Linked DNA regions of Ovis aries. The protein of the gene in region 2 interacts with the protein of the main gene of each other region in a pairwise test. Links are inferred from orthologs where the notes say so. Each region holds a gene or a part of one and is shown on either strand. Other genes may lie near its edges. The genes, in order: RAD23B and ATXN3.

The links.
Region 1: the proteins of ATXN3 (region 2) and RAD23B interact in a two-hybrid assay, tested with the Homo sapiens proteins (2 studies listed by BioGRID and IntAct). The link is inferred for Ovis aries from reciprocal best matches to the Homo sapiens genes ATXN3 and RAD23B.

Annotation. Positions count from the first base shown.
Region 1 is NC_056055.1:15,811,015-15,822,194, reverse strand, and holds part of RAD23B (UV excision repair protein RAD23 homolog B), read left to right. Parts: intron 1-95; coding exon 96-223; intron 224-3,081; coding exon 3,082-3,214; intron 3,215-4,766; coding exon 4,767-4,894; intron 4,895-5,574; coding exon 5,575-5,745; intron 5,746-10,416; coding exon 10,417-10,530; 3' UTR 10,531-11,180. UniProt on the Homo sapiens protein: Multiubiquitin chain receptor involved in modulation of proteasomal degradation. Binds to polyubiquitin chains.
Region 2 is NC_056071.1:54,566,156-54,577,335, reverse strand, and holds part of ATXN3 (ataxin-3), read left to right. Parts: intron 1-4,470; coding exon 4,471-4,571; intron 4,572-9,797; coding exon 9,798-9,892; 3' UTR 9,893-11,180. UniProt on the Homo sapiens protein: Deubiquitinating enzyme involved in protein homeostasis maintenance, transcription, cytoskeleton regulation, myogenesis and degradation of misfolded chaperone substrates.

The DNA.
Region 1 (11,180 bases), on a different chromosome or scaffold from region 2:
CACACACTGAAACTATGTGGAGAATGTTTGTTTATTGAATTTTCTTTCTCTTTTCCTTTTTCCCTTCTTCCACCCACACACACATCTTTTCTTAGTGACAGGTCAGTCTTACGAGAACATGGTAACTGAGATCATGTCAATGGGCTACGAACGAGAGCAAGTGATTGCAGCCCTGAGAGCCAGTTTCAACAACCCTGACAGAGCAGTGGAGTATCTCTTAATGGTGAGAAACATTTTGCTTTCTTGGTTCTAGTTGTTTAAGGATGAAATCTCAGAGAAACAGAAATTTTAAAGAAACAGTAGCAGTTCGTAAGATAATGGTGATGTATGCTCATTTGCATAATGCTTTTATTGGGTTGATTTAATTAATGCTTTTATTGACATTTATTGGGTTTTCAAAAAGTTCTTTTGGGGTTTTCCATTACATCTTACGGAAAAATCAGCAAACCTTTTGGTCAACCCAGTATTTTTCTTAGTGCATTATCATTTTCCGTTAATAAAGTATAACCTCTTCTAAAAGATTGTGATAAGACTTTGAATCAGAAAATGTCACTAAATGGATTTTAAAATTGGCTATCCACTTGGGGTATTAGTGTCTAACCTAGTTATATCATCCTCTGAGGATGAGAGCTGTGTGTTAGAGGGCTAAGGGTGGGGCAGGTTTTCAAACTAATTGAATCCAACATTTCAGTAGCTTTTTTGCCTGCCAAACATGATCCTGGATGTACTATGTAGAGTGAAAGTTTCAAGTTGGAAGTCCAAGTCAAATTTTGTACTATGTAAGTTTTTGTATTTAGTTGCTAGCTTTTAACAATTGGGAGAGTTTGCTGAAAAGTTCAGATAATTGATTTATCTGGACAACTCAGATCCCAGATTTTCACAAGGGTTTAGGGGAAATTTTAGGTTGTAGACTGCTCTACTAATAAAAGTTTTTGAGAAATAGATTGTTATGGGCATGAACTGAAACCCTTGATATTTTACAACAACGAATGTCTGTTTTACAGATGTGACACAGACCAAAAGCAAATTGTAAAAGTTTGCAATAATATTGGATTAATTTTTTAGTTTTAAGATTTTATCCTGCAATTGTCGTTGGTGTGTTAGAATATTATCAAAAGTCTGTATTACCCTAAACATCATCTCAGATCCTAACTCCTTGGAGAATACCGTCCACAGTTCAACCCATTCCCTTGTTTCTAGGTGTGCTTCTGGTAGAAACTCCTTTTCAGTAGTTTCAGAGTAGTTTCAGAAGAGTCCCCGTCATGAGCAGATAATTGCTTCTCCTCCAGTCATTTCCTGCTTACTGGCATGAGGTTCAGAAAATCTTAACATACCATTTAACTTTTGAATTCTTTTTCCCATTGTCCACTTGAAAGTCTGTAAAATACTGACAGTTCATTTAATTATCAGTTTGAAATTGAGGAATCATACTGGATTGAGAGTTATTGTGGATCAGTTTATGGTTGCCCCTCATTCCTCCCCAAAAAATGTGTATTGCATAAAAACATTGCCTTTCCTTTTATAGAATGGCTTTAATTTATACCTGATTTTGGAATTCTGCATAATTTTAATGGTGTCATCAAATATTTTGACCCAGTAGATTTGAAATTTTGGGGTTTGAAAAAAATGAATTACTCTTTTCACAGTTGCTACTATTTAGCATCAAATGCAAATAAATAGATGAGAGGTTCATGGAAACAGTTTATCCTTTAGTTTCAATTGAAGCAGGCACTTGTTTTGGTGCTTTGAACTGTTGCTAGTTTTTGATGAATCTATATAAGTGCAAGTGAGTGTATAGAAAGAAGTAATAATCTAACAAAAAGCTAAATCTTGTGTGTGAGGATTTGAGGTAGATCTGTAGCAATGGTGATTAACTTTTGACTTTAGCTAACTTGTTTGAGAATTTGATGGAGGCTTTTGGACCCTCGATCTGTATATAGTTTGTCCGCACTTGATAGCTCCTCATTTAAGGGTTTGAATTGGTGGGTGGCTTGCAGTGCCTAGAGGGACATCCAATATAGCAATTATTATCCTGCTATTTATTGTCCTTCATTCTTTATATGTTTATGATTTTAGCTTCTGATTTACTGGGAAATGGAAGTGATTACTAACACCATCTCATATTCATATACAGTATTTTCTTCTCTATTCCCTTTCCAAAACCTATAAAGGTTATTTGATAGCTATATGTGAGAAGTCTTATAAATCATTTTTATCAAAATAGAGTGTTCCAAAAATCTTAGTGCAGTTTAAAGTTATAATAACTTCAGAAGATAAATGTCATAAACTTAGAAAAATTATCACCCAAAACTTGAAGATTTTTTTATACCCATTTACTTTTTTCTTTCTTTCTTCCTTTGGGCCATACCACACAGCTTGTGGGATTTTAGTTTCCTGACCAGGGATTGAACCTATGCCCTTTGCAGTGAAAGTGCAGAGTCTTAACCACTGAACTAAAAAGTCAGATATGTCCTAATAAGATTTGTGTTGATATTTTGAAAATTTAAAAAATTAGCTTTTTAGTGTTGGACAGTATTATATGCAAGTTTAGGATCTTGCCTGATACTTTGGTGTTAGATATTAATATGTGTTGCTGTATAAACATCATTTCATGATTTTTTTTTAATTAATAAAGTTCCTTTATGTCTTAGATCTACACTATCTAGTTGGGTAGCTATTGAGTACTGTTAAGTACAAGTAAGTTAATACTTAACTCTTTTTTTAAGTGTCTTAGTACCATTAGCCATATTTCAAGGTCTCAGTAGCTACTTGTGGCTAATGGGTATTTTTATTGGACAACATAAATATAGAGGTGTTCCGAAATGGAAAGTTCTGTTGGGCAGTGCTGCTGTATATAATAGCAGTATGGATTCATCCATACCACATTGAGGCCATTTCTAATCTTGAATATGTGCAGATTTTGTTTGTGTTTATCCTTTACTTTGAATTGAAGCAGACGTCTGTTTGATGCTTTTAGAAATTAGACAAGGATATTGAATAGACACAAAGTTTCTTCTTCTGTGTAATATTTAAGTAACTTTGAGTGAGGAGCTATTCTAAAGCTTGGAAATCATGTTACAGGGAATTCCTGGAGATAGAGAGAGCCAGGCTGTGGTTGACCCCCCTCCAACAGCAAGCACTGGGGCTCCGCAGTCTTCAGTGGCCGCAGCTGCAGCAACCACGACAGCAACAACTACAACAGCAAGTTCTGGAGGTAAAGTGGAAACTTTTGATGGGGAAGAAATGGCCATGAATTTTCAGTTTAAAATAGTTTAACCTGAAATTCTTTTGAGGTGACGTTCATTCTCAGAGCATCATAATTCTTAAAATCTCTTCTAGTGTTAGAGAAGGGCCCAGAAGAAACAATACTACGTGGATATAAAAGATACTCTTATTTTAAACTTCATCACTGCAGTTTTGGTAAAGGACATATTTCTGTTTAGCTCCTTCTAAGGAAGAGATGCTTCCCATTTAGATGCTTGCATTTAGTGTTATATTCAGAATGGTTTGCGCACCTTGTCTCTTTCTCTCCCTATAAATATCATAAAATATAATTCCAACACCAGCAGGATCCTAATGGTTATTATAGAAGCAAGAAAATGAAACCTAGTATATTTAATATCTTGTATCTAGAGGTGAAATCAAAGCTTGAATTCAGGTATCTTTACTGACTAGCACCCACACTTGAGTTGGCAAAGGTTTGACTAGGAAGCAAAGCCTAGAGCCTGTGAGAGGCCTGGGAATGTTCTCTTTCATTCTTTCTTCTGTAAAATTGATAAAGTAATTCAAACTGTTAATTTTGAAGAGATCATTCCTTTATGTATTTCCTAGCTCTAATTATGGCAGTCAGTTCTGGTTGATAAAAATCCCTAAGCACTTTGTGTACAGTCTCCCAGAGGATAAGCTTTCATTTCCTGAGATTCAGCATGGAAATGGAGGAGGCAGAGCTTTGGTTCAGGTTTGGGGTGCTGTCCCGTCCAGTGGTACTTACTGAATAACTTAGTTCCTGAGTCTTGTTTTCTTCTGTAAAACTAGTGTTACACAAAGAAGAGTAAATAACCGTGCTCTGTGGCCATTTTAATTTGAATGATTGTCTTGAATAATGCAGGAGATAAGAACGTACATCTAGAAAATTCTCACTAATCTTCGTAAATACAATTAAAGAGGGTAGGTTTTTTTGTGTTTCTTGGTTTTGGTATATATATTTCTTAGGAACTTTTGAGCATCAGAAACAGCTTCTAATGCTTTTTATAGAGTATATGCAGGCACAGGTTGTCGGTGTTATTTGATAGATTGAGTGCCCCAGGCAATTGTAGGAAAACGTCCTGCTTTTAGTGGTCTGTTCTCTCTGCGTTGTGTGCTGTGCTGTGCCGAGTTGCTTCCGTCGTGTCTGACTCTGCAGCCCCATGGACTGTAGCACGCCAGGCTCCTCTGTCCATGGGGCTCTCCGGGCAGGAATACTAGAGTGAGTTGCCATGCCCTCTTCCAGGGGATCTTCCCAACCCAGGGTTGAACCTGCATCTCTTATGTCTCTTGCGTTGGCAGGCAGGTTCTTTACCACTAGTACCACCTGGCAAACCCACTCTCTACCTGAGCTAGTAGGAATAATTTCTGCAGTATAAGACTTGCAAGTTGGTACAGTTTGAAGATTGTCGTTACTTCATTTTATATACATCTTAGAACTCAAATCATTTTTTTTCTTCACAATGTTTGCTGTCTAAATTATGTTTGTTATTTTTGTTTAAAAATGTTTCTGTTTATTTTAGGACACCCTCTTGAATTTTTACGGAATCAGCCTCAGTTTCAACAGATGAGGCAAATTATTCAACAGAATCCTTCCCTGCTTCCAGCATTGCTACAACAGATAGGTCGAGAAAATCCACAGTTACTTCAGGTGACTGTTTAATCAGTTTCAAAAATGTATTAACATTTTGTAGAAGTCAATGGGCACTCCTTCCCCTCTACCAGGTGTATAAACTGTTCTTCCAAGCTACCCTCAGGAGAATGTTATAGAGGTACTGATAAAAAGAGAATTGGGGTGGGGGTGGGGTTAATTTAGTCAAATACTAAGTTTGGGAAACACTTTATTAAAGAATATGAGAAACTTTCGCAAAAAGAAATATTTAATTTTCTAAATCTCTCTTTCTCAAGCTTATTACTAGAGGTGCACTGCCTCTTAGAAAACATACCTGTGGGCTTATTTTATTGTTCAGGTCATGAAGTATTTGAGTTTTGTGTAGCATTCTACTGCCTGCTAGTTGTGGAAGATAAAAATAATATAGACATAAATATAATTTTTCTTTTAGCCATCAAGTAGTTTTTTAATAGTAATGGGGGAGTGGAGTGTTTATGAAAAAGAATTTGAATTCTTTTAATTCTTCACTGTTTACCTCCTTCAGAAATACTGAGTTTCTTTACAAGAAATCACATCCTTCCAAAGGCTGACTAATCCAGAATCATTCTAAAATAATGCAGTTGCAGAGTTGTAGCTTTCCTTTTTATTTGTATTAGAGTTCTTGTTTTCCTGGAGGTACTTTATAACAATGTGTTGTTGTGTTCTTTAAATCGCTGCAGCAAATTAGCCAACATCAGGAGCATTTTATTCAGATGTTAAATGAACCAGTTCAGGAAGCTGGTGGTCAAGGAGGAGGGGGAGGAGGTGGCAGTGGAGGAATCGCAGAAGCTGGAAGTGGTCATATGAACTACATTCAAGTAACGCCTCAGGAAAAAGAAGCTATAGAAAGGGTGAGTCTACGTGAAACTTAAAAATTCGGTTCCTAGTCACACTAGCCATGTTGCAGATGCTCAGTAGTCACTGGGGCTAGTGGCTCCTGCATCGGGTAGCCTAGATATAGAGTATTTCCATTGTGGAAGATAGCTCCTATTGAGCAGAGCCCAGTAAAGCATTATTCATGTAGGGATTGCAGTGGAGACAGTCTCTTCTCAGCCCTACTCTCATCATGTTCTTTGTGAAGCCCAAGAACCAGCATTAAATACCAGTCTAGCATGAAATTGTTATAAATAAATCAAGCTAAAGATTTCATTGATGTTTTAAAATTCAAGAAGAAAAAAGTATATGCTCAATTCAGGATTATCCTTTTTTAAATTTATATTTCAAATTTTATTTCACTGTTGTCTCTAAATATAAATATGTGTGTGAATTATATAAAATATGTATAGTGGATATCAGAACCTGATATTTCAATTCTCTTTTCACCCTTATCAGGTCAACCTGTACAGGTTGTGCCATTGCAGTATAACTTAATACTTAGAAAATCATCGGAGCTTTAATTTGTCTTTATGACATAACCATATAAGTGTTCAAGGTTTATAACTAGTATTTCTTAAAAGGTACTTTATATATTGTGCTGTTTTACCTCCTCAAATAATAGAAATGACAGTAGACAATTGCCTCACTTGTTCTGTAGCAACTTTTTTTTTTTTTTTGAGACTGTCCTTGATTTCTGTGTTGGAGAAATTTTCTTTTTGTTGCTTTTGCTTTTGGTGTTATACGAACATTGCCTTACCCAAGGTCAGAGGACTTGAGCCTGTGTTTTCCCCAAAGAGTTTTATAGCTCTTATTACATTTACGTAATGAAAAATGTCTATGCTCCATTTGAGTTAACTTTTTGTTTATAATGTGAGGTGTAGGAGTCTAGATTATGTTTCGCCTGTATAATATCCAGTTGCCCAGCACCGTTTATTGAAAATACTTATTTTTATTCTTTGACACTGTTATAAATAGAATTGTGTTCTTTTTATTTATTTATTTTTGGCCACACCAACACATATGGGATCTTAGTTCCCTGACCAGGAATGAAACCCATGACCCCTGCATTGGAAGCACAAAGTCTTAACCACTGGACCATCGGGGAAGTCCTTAGAATTGTTTCCTTAATTTCAGTTTTTAGATTGTTCATTGTTATATGGAGATACAATTTTGTGTATCATGCAGTTTTGTACACCAAAAGTAAATTTTGTGTACCTTCTTTAACTCAGTTGTTAATTCTTAATTTGTGTGTGTTCCTTAGGATTTCTGTGTGTAAGATCATTTGAAGGTAGACATAGTTTTACTTCTTTTTCAATTCAGGTGTTCTTTGTTTATTTTTATTCACATATATACCAACTTGCTTAATTGTCCTGCCAGAACCTCCTCTATTGTTGAATAGCAGTGATAAGAGCCGACATCCTTGTCTTATTCCCGATATTAGAGGAAAATGAAATACTAAGTCTTCCACCACTAAGTTTGATGTTTTCTGTGGGTTTCATTAGATTCCTTTCATCAGGTTGAGGAAGTTCTCTTCTGTTTCTATTACAGTGGATGTTTTTATCACAGAGGATGTGAGGTTTTGTCGATTGTGTGTTGATTGAGATGGTCATGTGATTGTGTCCCTTTTTCTGTCAGTATACTTTGTTGTGCTGATTGATTTTTCTGTGTTGGCTCAGCCTTGCATTCCTGAGGTGAATCCTCTATGGGCGTGGTGTTTAATGCTCTTTATGTGTTGCTGGAGTTGACCTGTTAGTGATTTGTTGAGGATTTCTGCATCTTCATGCATTAGGAGTATTGGTCTGTAGTTTTCTTACGGTGTCTTGGTCTGGTTTTGGTGTCAGGCTAGTACTGGTCTTATGGAGTCAGTTCCCTCCTCTTCTCTCGTTTGGAAGAGTTAATGAAGAATTGGTGTTGATTTTTCTTTAAATTGCTGGTACAGCTCACCAGTGAAGTTATCTGGGCCTGGCTTTTGGGGAATTTTTGTGATGACTGGTTAAGTCTCTTGTCATAGGACTTGTTCAGGTTTTCTGTTTTGTTTCGTTTTTTTTTTTTTTTTTCTTGAGTCAGGGTGGTTTTTGTTTTTCTAGAAATTTGTTTCATATATGTTGTCTAATTTGTTGGCATAAGCTGTTCTTAGTATTCCTTTATTGTTGCTTTCGTTTCTATAAAAAGTAATAATAGTGTTCCCACATTTATTTTCTGATTTAGTCATTTGAATTCTCAGATTTTTTTTTCTTGTCAATTCAGTAAAGGTTTGTTAATGTTGATTTAAAGGGAAAAAAGCAAGAATTTTTGGTTCTGTTGATTCTGTATTTTTCTAGTCTCTATTTTATTTCCTTCTGTTTGCTTTAGATTTAGTTTCCTCTCCCCCCCCCCCCAGTTTCTTAAGGTGAACTTAGATTACTGATTTACTATCTCTTATTACACAGGCATGCCTTGTTTTATTGTGCCTCGCTTCATTACATTTTGCAGTTAAGTCCTTTTTTTACCAATTGAAGGTTTTTGACTGTTAAGATGATGGTTACTTTTGACAATAAAGTATTTTTAAATTAAAGTATATACATTGGTTTTTAGACGTGATGCTGCTGCACACCTAGCAGACTGCAGTATAGTGTAAACATGACTCATGTGCACTGGAAAATCAAAAATTCTTGTGACCTGCTTTATTGCCACATTCGCTTTATAGCAGTATTCTGTAGCTGAACTTGCAGTATCTCTGAGTTGGACCTGTAGACATTTACAACTAGAAACTTCTGCAAGAACTGCTACAGCAACATGCTGTAAATTTCAGTGTATTGACATTTTATTTTCATTCATCTCAGTATTTTCTAATTTTGTCAGTTTTTGATCTGTAGGTTTTTTAGGGTTTTATCAATTTCCACATTTATGAATTGTCCAAATATCCTTCTTTTATTGATTTCTGAGTTCATTCCATTGTGGTCAGAGAACATAATTTGTGTAACTTTAATCCTTAGAAACTCACTGGGGCCTGTTTTGCGGCCTGACCTGGTCCTTGGAGACTGTTCTGTGTGTACTTGAGAAGGGTGTGCGACTTGCCGCTGTTCGCTGCTCTGTGCATGTCTGTTAGGTCTGGTTGGTTTAGCATTTTTTCAGGTTTTCTACTTGCGTGTCTTCTGCCTTCTCTTATCCGTTACAGAACTTGGAGATATTGATGTCTCCAGCTATTGTTGCATTTTTCCCTTCAAGTCTGTCAGTTTTTGCTTTATGTATTTGGGGGCTTTGTTGTTCTCTTTGTTTATAATGAAGTCTTTTTGATTGTTTAATCATCATAAAATGTCTTTGTTTTAGTCACAATTTTAATTGAAGTCTGTTTTGTCTGGTATTAATATAGCCACTTAAGCTCTCTTTTTGTGTAATTATTTGCATGGTATATGTCTTTTTCTATCCTTTTACTTTCAGCGCACTGTGTCTTTCAATCTAAATTGTGTGTCTTACTGTAAAGCATATATAGTTGGATTGTGCCCTGTTTACCTTTTACTTCAGCTAGCCCAGCTTTAATGTGGACAAGACCTAAATAACAAAATCATTTTTTAGTTTCTTCTCCTTTCATGGATGAGTATAATCATGCTGAATTAGGAGTTTTGCCTGGTTTTTAAATAAAGGTCCTTTCTTGATACAGTCTAATGCAAGGGACAAATATATGGCACCTGGGGAATTAGATTAATTCACCTGAGTGTTTGCTACTGCTAAGTCACTTCAGTCGTGTCCGACTCTGTGCGACCCCATAGACGGCAGCCCACCAGGCTCCCCCGTCCCGGGATTCTCCAGGCAAGAACACTGGAGTGGGTTGTCATTTCCTTCTCCAATGCATGAAAGTGAAAAGTCAAAGTGAAGTCGCTCAGTCGTGTCCATCCCTCAGCGACCCGATGGACTACTGCCTACCAGGCTGCTCCGTCCGTGGGATTTTCCAGGCAGGAGTACTGGAGTGGGGTGCCATTGCCTTCTCCTCACCTGAGTGTTTAAAGGCTTTTAAAAGCAGTGATTATTGAGTTGCAAGTGATTTTCAATAGACTATGAAAATAAAATTAAAGGGATCGTATCACCTTTTAAAGTGCTATAAAAATTAAGCAGATAAAAACAATACTGTATGTCTTGACCTCAGAAGTATGTCATGTAATATTACTAATAATTGACCACCCATTTTTGTAGTATGAGGTGTTTCATAAAGCAAGGAGGTTAAGAGTGATATTTGACCCTTATTAAGGATATGGCTAAAAAACAAACAAACAAACAAAAAACAAATAATTGGATTAGGTAGTTAAACTCATCTCCACCTCCGGTTGCTCTCATCCATAGTTTCACCGCTTATGTACTAAAAGCCGTCTGATTTACAGATTTCTGTAGGGTCATTTATTTTTAAACTACCACAGCAGCTAACTTTTAGTGTTAATGCCAGTGAATGTTATCAAAGTATCTATTTAGCATCAAAATTTTAACTAGGAGCAAAGAATTTTGTAAGTGGTTACAGGAAAGGGCCCCAAGTTCTATCTAGCTCCTTGAATTGGACAGCAGCTCCATGATCAGAAAGGGATGAATTCATCTAAAATTCTCAAGTTTTTGCATCCCTTATAGTATGTTTTCAAACAATGATGACTCCGTAATATGTTTTCTTTCTTTTCTTTCAGTTAAAGGCATTAGGATTTCCTGAAGGACTTGTGATACAAGCATATTTTGCTTGTGAGAAGAATGAGAACTTGGCTGCCAATTTTCTTCTACAGCAAAACTTTGATGAAGATTGAAAGGGACTTTTTTTTTAATCTGACACTTCACACCAGTGCATTACACTAACTTTGTTCACTGGATTGTCTGGGATGACTTGGGCTCATATCCACAATACTTGGTATAAGGTAGTAGATTGTTGGGGGTGGGGAGGGAGGGTCTAGGATATAGGGCAGGGATAAATACAGTGCATGTCTGCTTCAGCTAGCAGATGCCGCAAATCCACACAGTGTGTACAATATTATACAACCAAAAATCAGCTTTTGCAGGTCTTTATTTCTTCTGTAAAGCAGTAGATAACTTTTCCTAGGTTTCACTCTTTTTAGTGTACTAGATCCAGAAATTTAGTGTAATGCCCTGCTTTATATTTCTTTGACTTAACATTGGTTTCAGAAAGAATCTTTGCTACCTAGAATCTACAGTCCCTATTTTATGGCAACACTGGATAATGGCTGTGTGAAATTGGGAAAAAAAATGGGAGTGACTGTAAACAGAAATGCCAAATTATTGATGGTTATTGTTGCTGCTTCAAATAAGTATAAAATTAATGTGTAAGAAAGCCCATTCTTTCATGATAAATACTTGGGGTTGAAGGGGGGAGATGGGGAACATTTTCTTAAGATGGAAATAATTAACTGCTATTTTAAATTTCTTGATCATTGAATGTGAG
Region 2 (11,180 bases):
CACAAGGAAAACCCAATGTTTTCATAGTCATGCGTTACTGTGATTTTTTGATTACCTAATACTTGAACTACCACTTCAGTGGTGTGATGTAGTTTATCAGAGTCCAGCTTAAAAAACAGAGATTTTTAAAATGTTTAACTGGAGGATAATTGCTTTCCAGTGTTGTGTTGGTTTCTGCTGTACAACAATGTGAATCAGCCGTAAATATACATATATCCCCTCCCTCTCAAGCCTCCTTTGGACAAAGCGGAATCAGGATATCGAGTTTAAGAACACACTGCTTTAGCTGTGACCCTAAGACCAAGAAGCTGCCACCACAGTTGCTTAGACATGGGAACCTGCAGTCTGGCCCCCACTGCAGCTGCCAGGAAGCAGGATTGTGGAACTGGCGTCTCCGTGGCGTTACTTGCCAGCAGAGACCCACCAAAGCTGCAGGAAGATGACAGTACCTCCTCTGCCGTGTAAGTCTCAGGCATGTGTTTAACTGGTAGCCAGACTCCTAGCTCGAAAACAGTCAAAGACATGTCGTTTTCAGTTTTCCAGCCTTTCTCATGCTGAAGGCATGTTAGAAGGCACAGAGGGGAAGGATGCTGATTTACTGTTTGAACATGGTCCATCTTACAGTGTCCCCACGTAGGAAAGGTGTCAAAATACTCTCAAGGCTGGCAGTTGATTTACTTCTCACTTGGAAGTAGAATGAAGGTTCTCTCTCTAAAGGCACTCTCTCACCTATCACTCCCTTGCATTCTGAAATACTTTCTTGAATGGAGGGGGAGGAGGGCATGGAGAGGATGCCCCAGGAATTCCTTGTACCTCACAGCCTGTCTTTTTCGTGTCACATTCCAGAATCAGAGTATGCTTGTGGGAGCCCACTGCCTATGTGTCCTTTGTTAGCCATGCTCCCCAGAACCTGTGCAGACATCAGTGTCTGGCTCAGAGGCCAGCAGGGAAAAACTGCAAGTCCCACTGGCTGAATTTGCCTCGTTGCTTATATTTAAAACACAAGATTAAGAGGGGCCCTAGAAAAAAGTGCTATTCTATTCTATTTTATAGTGTTGTATGTGTTAGTTGCGCAGTCATGTCTGACTCTTTGTGACCCAGTGGACTGTAGCCCACCAGGCTCCCCCTGTCCATGGGATTTTCCAAGTAAGAATACTGGAGTGGGTAGCCATTTCCTCTCCAGGGGATTTTCCCAACCTAGGGATTGAACCCAGGTCTCCTGCATTGCAGGCGGATACTTTACCATCTGAGCTACAAGGGAAGCCCTATTGTGTTACTGGGCATTTAAAAATTCTGCTTCTTCCTGACTTCAGATTATACTACAAAGCTACAATCATCAAGACAGTATGGTACTGGTGCAAAAATAGAAATATAGACCAATGGAACAAGATAGAAAGCCCAGAAATAAACCCATGCACCTATGGGTACCTTATTTTTGACAAAGGAGGCAAGAATATACAATGGGTCAAAGACAGCCTTTTCAATAAATGGTGCTGGGAAAACTGGACAGCTACATGTAAAAGAATGAAATTAGAGTACTTCCTAACACCATACACAAAGATAAAGTCAAAATGGATTAAAGACCTAAATGTAAGACCAGAAACTATAAAACTCTTACAGGAAAACATAGGCAGAACACTGTATGACATAAATCAAGGCAAGATCCTCTATGACCCACCTCCTAGAGTAATGGAAATAAAAACAAAAGTAAACAAGTGGGCCCTGATTAAACTTAAAAGCTTTTGCACAGCAAAGGAAACTGTAAGCAAGGTGTAAGACCACCCTCAGAATGAGAGAAAATAATAGCAAATGAAACAACTGACAAAGGATTAATTTCCAAAATATACAAGCAGTTCATACAACTTAATACCAGAAAAACAACCCAATCAAAAAGTGGGAAAGAGACCTAAACAGACATTTCTCCAAAGAAGACATATAGATGGCTAACAAACACAAGAAAAGATGCTCAACATCACTATTATTAGAGAAATGCAAATCATAACCATGAGATACCACCTTACATCAGTCAGAATGGCCATCATCAAAAAGTCTACAAACAATAAATGCTGGAGAGGGTGTGGAGAAAAGGGAATGCTCTTGCACTATTGGTGGGAATGTAAATTGATACAGCCATGATGGAAGACAGTATGGAGATTCCTTAAAAAACTAGGAATAAAACCACCGTATGAGCCAGCAATCCCACTCCTAGGCATATACCCTGAGGAAACCAGAGTTGAAAAAGACACATGTATCTCATTGTTCATTGCAGCGCTGTTTACAATAGCTAGAACATGGAAGCAACCTAGATGCCCATCGACAGATGAATGGATAAAGAAGCTGTGGTACATATACACAATGGAATATTACTCAGCCACAAAAAGAAAAGCATTTGAGTCAGTTCTGATTAGGTAGATGAACCTAAAACCTATTATACAGAGTGAAGTGAGTCAGAAAGAAAGATAAATATCGTATTCTAACGCACATATATGGAATCTAGAAAAATGGTTCTGAAGAATTTACAGGATAGCAGTGGAGAAACAGACATAGAGAATAGACTTATGGACACGGGGAGAGGGGAAGAGAGGGTGAGATGTATGGAGAGAGTAACATGGAAACTTACATTACCATATGTAAAATAGACAGCCAACAGGAATTTGCTTTATGGCTCAGGAAACTCAAATAGGGGCTGTGTATCAACCTAGAGGGGTGGAATGGGGAAGGAGATGGGAGGGAGGTTCAAAAGGGAGGGGATATATATATACCTATGGCTGATTCATGTTGAGGTTTGACAGAAAACAACAAAATTCTGTGAAGCAATTAACTTTCAATAAAAAAAATTTTTTTTAAACAGTAAAAAAAAAAAAAGAAATACCTTAGAGGGTGAGGTTGATTAAAAAAACAAAGTATCATTCATTACTCCATTAAATAATTTTGTATTCATTAAAAAAAATTCTGCTTCCTTTAAAAATCCTTTTATGCGTTTTTTTGAAAGCTATATAGCTTCTTGCTTAGATTGTCAGCTGTTTATAAGTTTTTCTTTAATTTTTAGCATATACATATGTATATATATGAAGTAATTTTAAATTGATGTAAAAGCAGAAATAGTTCAGAGTTCCTTATACCCTCCACCTAGATTTCCCAATTTTTGATCTTTCTGAACCACTTTACAATAACTTACAATTTCCCATTATATTTCTCAAAGCATAAGTATATTTTCTGAGTATAAGGATACTGTCCTACCTATTTACATCATAACCATCATGTTTAAACGTTTTAATGTGTGAATTGTTATGACATGGATTTTCCTTTTGAAAAAAAATACAGGGAGAATTTACTTTAATGCAGCAGGTATTACTGAAACTTGATAATGCAGTTTAAATAGTTGTTTTCATTTCTTTCATTCATAAAGTATTTGGTGACAAGCACAGGTTTAGGTACTGGAGAAACAAGCAGGATCAGCTTTGCGCTCTCATTAGTTTATGATTCTACAGAGGGAGACAGGCAAAAGAATATCAGATGATGCTAGTTTATACTGAAAATTAAATGAGAGTGTGCGAATGGCAGGTGGCTGCTTTAGCTCGAACAGTCAGGAAATATCCTGTGTCCATGGGACTCACCAGGCAAGAATACTGGAGTGGGTTGCCATTTCCTCCTTCAAGGGCTCTTCCTGACCTGGGTATCACATCTGGGTCTCCTGCATTGGCAAGGCAGACTTCACCATCAGAGTCACCAGGGAAGCCTCTGAGGAGATACTGAAGCCTAGATACGATTGACAGGAAGGAGCCAGCCATGGAAGGATCATTTTAATCAGCCCGTAATTTGAGATGCTTTATCTTTTCAAAGGTGCTTATTTTCAGTGACTTCCAACAATATTAAGGACCTGTAAACCAACACATTTGCATTCAAACAGTGACTCTATTCGTACAATGTGTTATTTTTATGGTGAAAATACCTACCTGTTAATTTGTCTGATAAATTTGAATTTTCTATCTAGGTTTCCTAGGATCAGCACTGTGATGCTTTTCAGTAATTTATGTCAGACTGATTGCTCTTTCTTTAAAAAATTGAAGTGTAGTTGATTTACAATGTGTTAATTTCAGGTGTACAGCAAAATTGTTGAGATATATGTATATATGTATACTCTTTTTCAGATTCTTTTCCATTATATGTTATTGTAAGGTATTGAATATAGTTCCCTATGCTATACAGTAGGACCTTATTATATATTTTATATATAGTAGTATATATCTATTAATCCCAAACTCATTTATTCTCCCCCTGCTCTACCCTTTGGTAATCACAAGTTTGTTTTCTGTCAGAATGATTGCTCTTGCCTTCTTCTGGGGTGTTCAAGCCAGTGACACTTTTGTTTCGTGGAACCATTTATTTTCCATGGGAATGGTTTTTCTCATGGCATGTTTATTCTTGGGTTTTGTTTTTTGAATGTACTTTCGCTCTTGAATGTTTCAGGCAGCAGCAGCAGCAGCAGCAGCAACAAGCTCTGCCAGGACAGCTTACACATCTGTGTGAAAAGTCGAGCACAAGTTCTGAAGCACCTGACAGGGATCTAGGTACGCCTCCTGACCATACATCACGTTTCTTACCTGCATGCTCTCTTTGACACACAGCCTCCATGTGATTTTTGGCTTTGTAGGCTTTTTCTCCTCTCTTTATTATACTGAAATTCTTGAATGAATTTGTGACCTACTAAACTTTCTTGGATTAAGGAGCAGGCTAATTCCTTAATGTACTTGTGTCCTTAAAACACTCAATGAATGTTTTGCTTTAAAATTATAAATAGTACTTGCAATGTCACCGTAATTGGTACATTTTCCAAAAGTTTCTCAAAGATAATGAATAATAGTAGGTGGAAAATAAGTTCATTTTACTACTTGGAAAACTGAAAACACTTGAGTGTAGTCTGCATTACAACACAGAAGTCTAGAATTACTTATTAGACTTGGTTTAATAAATAGGTCTTGAATGTTGGCCAGTTATTGGTGGTAGAAACTGAGTGCAAAAGAAACTATCCAACAAAGAACTTGTAAGTAGGACATGAAAAGAACTCTCAAAACTAAGAAAATAACTCAAAAAGATGGGCAAAGGATTTGAACACTTTACCAGGTATATGGATGAAAATTGGGCATATGCTCAACATCACTAGTCACTAGGGAAATGCAAACCAAACCCACAAAGAGATGCCATTACACACGTACAAGAAAGACTTAAGAAAGTAATTAAATTGACAATACCAAATGCAGGCAAGAATCAGAGCAACTGGGACTCTCATACATTGTTAGTAGGAGTGTAAAATGGTACAACAATTCTGGAAAACAGTTTAGTATTTTCTTACAAACTTAAATGTACACTTAACCGTGGAATCCAGTAGTCCAACTCCTAGTTTCTAACCAAGAGAAAAGAAAATTAGATTCACACGAAAACTTACTGTGAATGCTCTAGCTGATTTGTTCATAATAGCCCCAAACAGGAAGCTGCTTAAAGGTGGTTCTTCAGATGAATAGACACAGAAACTGTTAGATCCAAACAAAGGACTACTATTAGCAATAAAAAGGAATGAACTGGTACTTTTTCTTACACATTCTGCTAAGTACAGCTAACAACCCTGGGCTTTTGTGTAAAGCAAATATAAGCAGAATCTGAAAGGCAGAGAGAAGACAGACTGGTTGGGAAGCTCAGGACCAGAGAAAGACAGAGTGGTTAGTAGCCTCAATTTTCTTTTTGCCCCAAGAAAAGCCTACTCTGTGGAGTCATTGATCATAGACAAAGCAAGGAAATTCCAGAAAAACATCTGCTTGATTGACTATGCTAAAGTCTTTGACTGTGGGGATCACAGCAAATTGTGGAAAAGTATTAAAAAGATGGGGATACCAGATCACATTACTTGTCTCCTGAGAAACCTATAAGGAGGCAAAAATATACAATGGAGAAAAGACAATCTCTTCAACAAGTGGTGCTGGGAAAACTGGTCAACCACCTGTGAAAGACTGAAACTAGAACACTTTCTAACACCGCACACAAAGATAAACTCAGAATGAATAAAGATCTAAATGTAAGGCTGGAAACTATAAAACTCCTAGAGGGAAACATAGGCAGAACACTATCTGACATAAATCACAGCAAGATACTCTATTACCCACCTTCCAGAGGAATGGAAATAAAAACAAAAATAAACAAATGGGACCTAATTAAACTGAAAGCTTTTGCACAACTAAGGAAACTATAAGCAAGGTGAAAAGGGGGCCTTCAGAATGGGAGAAAATAATAGCAAACAAAACAACTGACAAAGAATTAATCTCAAAAATGTACAAGCAGCCCATGCAGCTCAATACTAGAAAAACGAACGACCCAATCAAAAAGTGGGCCAAAGAACTAAGCAGACATTTCTCCAAAGAAGACATACAGAGGGCTAAAAAAAACATAAAAAGATGCTCAACATCACTCATTATCAGAGAAATGCAAATCAAAACCATAGTGTACCATCTCATGCCAGTCAGAATGGCTACCATTAAAAAGTCAACAAATGATAAATACTGAGGAGGTTGTGGAGAAAAGGGAACCCTCTTACACTCTTGGTGGGAATGCAAACTGGTACACCTACTATGGAGAACAGTATGCTAAGTCACTTCAGTCGTGTCTGACTCTGTGCAACCCCATAGACGGCAGCCCACCAGGCTCCCCATCCCTGGGATTCTCCAGGCAAGAACACTGGAGTGGTTCGCCATTTCCTTCTCTAATGCATGAAACTGAAAAGTGAAAGTGAAGTCACTGTTGTGTCCGACTCTTTGTGACCCCATGGACTGCAGCCTACCAGGCTCCTCCATCCATGGAATTTTCCAGGCAAGAATACTGGAGTGGGGTGCCATTGCCTTCTCCAGGAGAACAATATGAATATTCCCTTAAAAACCTGGAAATAGAACTGCCATATGACCCAGCAATCCCAGTGCTAGGCATACACAATGAGGAAACCAGAATTGAAAGAGACACATATACCCCAGTGTTCATTGCAGCACTGTTTACAATAGCTAGAACATGAAAGCAACCTAGATGTCCATCGGCAGACGAACGGATAAGGAAGTTGAGGTACATATACACAATGGGATGTTACTCAGCTATAAAAAAAGTGCATTTGAGTCAGTTCTAATGAGTTGGGTGAAACTGGAGCCTATTATACAGAGTGAAGTAAGTCAGAAAGAGAAACACCAGTACAGTATATTAATGCATATATATGGAATTTAGAAAGACAGTAATGACAATCCTATATACAAGGCAGTGAAAGAGACACATGTAAAGAACAGACTTTTGGACTATGTGGGAGAAGGTGAGAGTGGGGTGATTTTGAGAGAACAGCATTGAAGTATGTATATTACCATAGGTGAAAATAGATGACCAGTGCAAGTTCGATGCAGGAAGCAGGGCACTCAAAACTGGTGCTCTGGGACAACCCAGAGGGATGGGATGGGGAGGGATGTCAGAGAGGGGTTCAGGACGAGGGGACACGTGTGCACCCATCCCTGTTCATGTCGATGTGTGGCAAAAACCACCACAATATTGTAATTATCCTCCAACTAAAAAAAAACCTAGACAGTGTATTAAAAAGTAGAGATATTACTTTGCTTACAAAGGTCTGTATAATCAAAGCTATGATTTTTTCAGTAGTCATGTATAGATGTGATAACTGGACAATAAAAAAGGCTGAGCACTGAAGAATTGATGCCTTCGAACTGTGGTGTTGAAGAAGACTCTTGCGAGTCCCTTGTACAACAAAGAAATCCAACCAGTCCATCCTAAAGGAAATCAACCCTGAATATTCATTGGAAGGACGGATGTTGAAGCTGAAGCTCCAGTACTTTGGCCACTTGATGTGAAGAGCTGACTGACTGGAGAAGACCCTGGTGCTGAGAAAGTTTGAAGGCAGAAAGAATAGAGGATGACAGAGAATGAGATGGTTGGATGGCCTCACTGACTCATTGGGCATGAGTTTGACTGGACTCCAGGAGATAGTGAAGGACAGGGAAGCCTGGGGTGGTGCAATCCATGGCATGGCAGAGTCGGACACGACTGAGTGACTGAACAACAATGGGGGACTGTATCCCACCTGCCACAACTAAGAGTTTCCATGCTGCAAGTAAAAGATAACCCCTGTGCCGCACACAACGCACACACACACACACAAAAAGATCCTGCATGCTGCAACTAAAACATAGCATAGTCAAATAAATAAATACTTAAAAAGAACAGTAGGAGGAAAAAAAATATGTGTAAACACAATAGACTTGCCTCTCCTTTTCAGTTTTCTAAATTATATTTTATGAATGCAGGAAGAATTATAACTGATTTGGTTTTTACTGTAAATTATAGGAAATACTTAAGGCAATTGTAATCAGAGGAAAGTAGAGGGAGGTAAGATTTTTAACTTTCATTTGAACTGGTGCAGCCACTCTGGAAAATAATTTGGTAATTTCTATAAAACCTGAATATACAGTGACAATACAGCCATCAGTTATATTCCCATTTAATCCTAGAGAAATTAAAAGTTCTATCCATGCAAAAACCTGTACTTGAATGTTCATAGCATCTTTGTCATGATAAAAACTGGAAAAAACAAGTGTGCTACAGTAGGTAAATGGCTAAAGCAACTGCGGTACATCCATCCCACGGATACATCTCAGTATTAAAAAGAAACCAGGAACTTCCCTGCTGGTTCAGTGGTTAAGACTTCTGTGCTTCCACTCCTAGGGGCACAGGTTAGGTCATTGGTCAGGGAACTGAGATCCTGCATGGCATGTGGTGTGGTGAAAAGAATTAAAAAAAAATTTTTTTTTAACTTTTTTTAAAAAAGAAACTAGTTGCGGATACATGCAGCAGCTTAGATATATTTCAAGGGCATTATGCTGAGTACAAAAAAATAAATCTCAAAAGATCTCACACTGTAGGATTCTAAGTGTGTAACATTCTAAAAATGACAAATTGATAGAGATGGAAAGCAAATTAGCAGTTGCCTGTAGTAAAGGAATGTCGGAGGGACAGGGAAGAGAAGTGAGTGTGGACAAACAGGGATGGCAGGAGGGAGATTTTGGTGGTTCTCAGTCTGGACTGTGGTGGTGTTGATGGTGGTGGTTACACAGATCTTCACATACAAAAAAATACCATAGAACTACGCACAACATTGTAAATACCAATGTCAGTATTCAGATTTAGGTTTGAGCTGAAGTTACGTAAGATTTAATTATTAGGTGAAATTTAGCCAGTGTACACAGGACCTCTTTGAACTATCTTTGCACCTTCCTGTGCATAAATAATTATTTATCAAAACAAACTTTTCAGGTATGTATGTATCATTGACAGACACAAAGTTAAATTTTCTTTCCCTTAGCATAATGCTTTTGTTTAAGATGCCATATTCAAAGGTTACATACACAATGCATGATTCCATTTGTGTTGACATGCAGGAAAAGGCAGAACTGTAGGGCAAAAAACATGTCAGTGGTTGCCTAAACCTAGGGATTGGGACTGACTGCAAAGACAGCATGAGGGAATATTTGGGTGCATGGAATGGTTCTGTCTGTATCTGGGTGGTGGTGATGGTTATACCACTTGGTATTTGTCAAAACTTGAGGAACTGTCAAAGAGTGGATTTTACTGTCTGTAAACTTTCAGAATCAAAAAAAAGGAAAGAAACTATAGTAGTCAAGTAAATAGTTTCTGAGCACTTACCTTTTGATGACTTTGGAAATTTTCCAGAACTTTCTAAGGAATGTGTGTTTTATCCCCAACAGGTGATTCTATGAGTGAAGAAGACATGCTTCAGGCAGCTGTGACCATGTCTTTAGAAACTGTTAGAAGTAATCTCAAAACAGAAGGAAAAAAGTAATACCTTTCACAAATCATTTAGATATTCAGTCTTTCCAATATTGTCCTGTGTGATTACAGCATAGGGTCCATTTTGGTAATGTGTCAAAGAGAACAATTTTCAACAGAGGAAAAAAGGCTTAGGTGGTTTGCAAACAAAACAATAATAAGGTGGAAAAATACATCAGTTTTAGGCCTAAAAAATGATCCTCCAAACACTAGCCAAAGAGGCATTCAGCAATTAAAGAAATTTAAAAGAGTTTTCTAAATGTTCTTTTTTCTTTCTTGAGTGTGCAATATCTAACATATCTAAAATTAGGGCATTTTTCTTGGATCTTTTTGCAGACCAACTAATTATAACTAGCTCTGGCCACAGAACTTTCCCCACACACTTTGTCTTCTTTTCCTCCCTTCTGCATAGTGAATCTGGCTCACTTTTATCATCTAAGAGTTGCTCTTATTTCTCTTTAACCAAATTAACCTTGTAGGACAGTGTATTCTCCGTTTTGATAATAGCAGCAGTTCCAGGATAAGCTGTTTTCCTTCTGACTGTATCATGCACTTGGGTGGTTTCTCATCTTTATTTTCTCTGATCACAGTTTCCCTGTTACCTGGTTTTCATTATTTTCTACTACTCTGTTGAAAGACGGTAATGTTTCTTGAGGTTTTTAAGCCCTCTGAGAAGGGATCATTATTTCATGACTCCAGTGCATTCCTGTACTCTGAAATCAGCTCTACACAAGTATTTGAGAGTAAAAGAGAACTGTCACGTGTGAGCACATCCGTTGTCAGAGGCTTTGTGGCTCTCTCCTCAGTTATGTCAGAACTTTAAGGCTGTGTTGTAACCCTCTTTCCTGCACCCTGTTATTTCCTTTTCTTTTGAAATTGAGAAAAATAGGAGGAGCATGGTGTGCAAGTTTCCTTCTGTTGCATACAGTGTATGGAAAACAACATGCAGTGCCCACTGTGAATGTGTGATAGATGAAATTTGGCCTTCAGTTTTAGTAGCAGTTTCATTTCATTTTTCCTCTTGTGACTGGAGCTGTTTACAGTTGAGTTAGGAAGTGTGGATGTCTGCTTCTGCTGTACATCTTTTCATAAGTAGAGAGAGCTTGCCAGAGATAACCGTTTAGAACATGAAAATTTACCAACAAAACTGCATTGAAATTTGTACTATGACTTGACACTTGCATCATGTTTAAATAGCTTCGAATTACAGAAGGCACAGTACTGAATGGATTTGTAAATAAGAAAGTCTTTAGTTTTGATAAACATTCTTTAATTGGGATGCAGAGAGTCTTGCTGGGTCA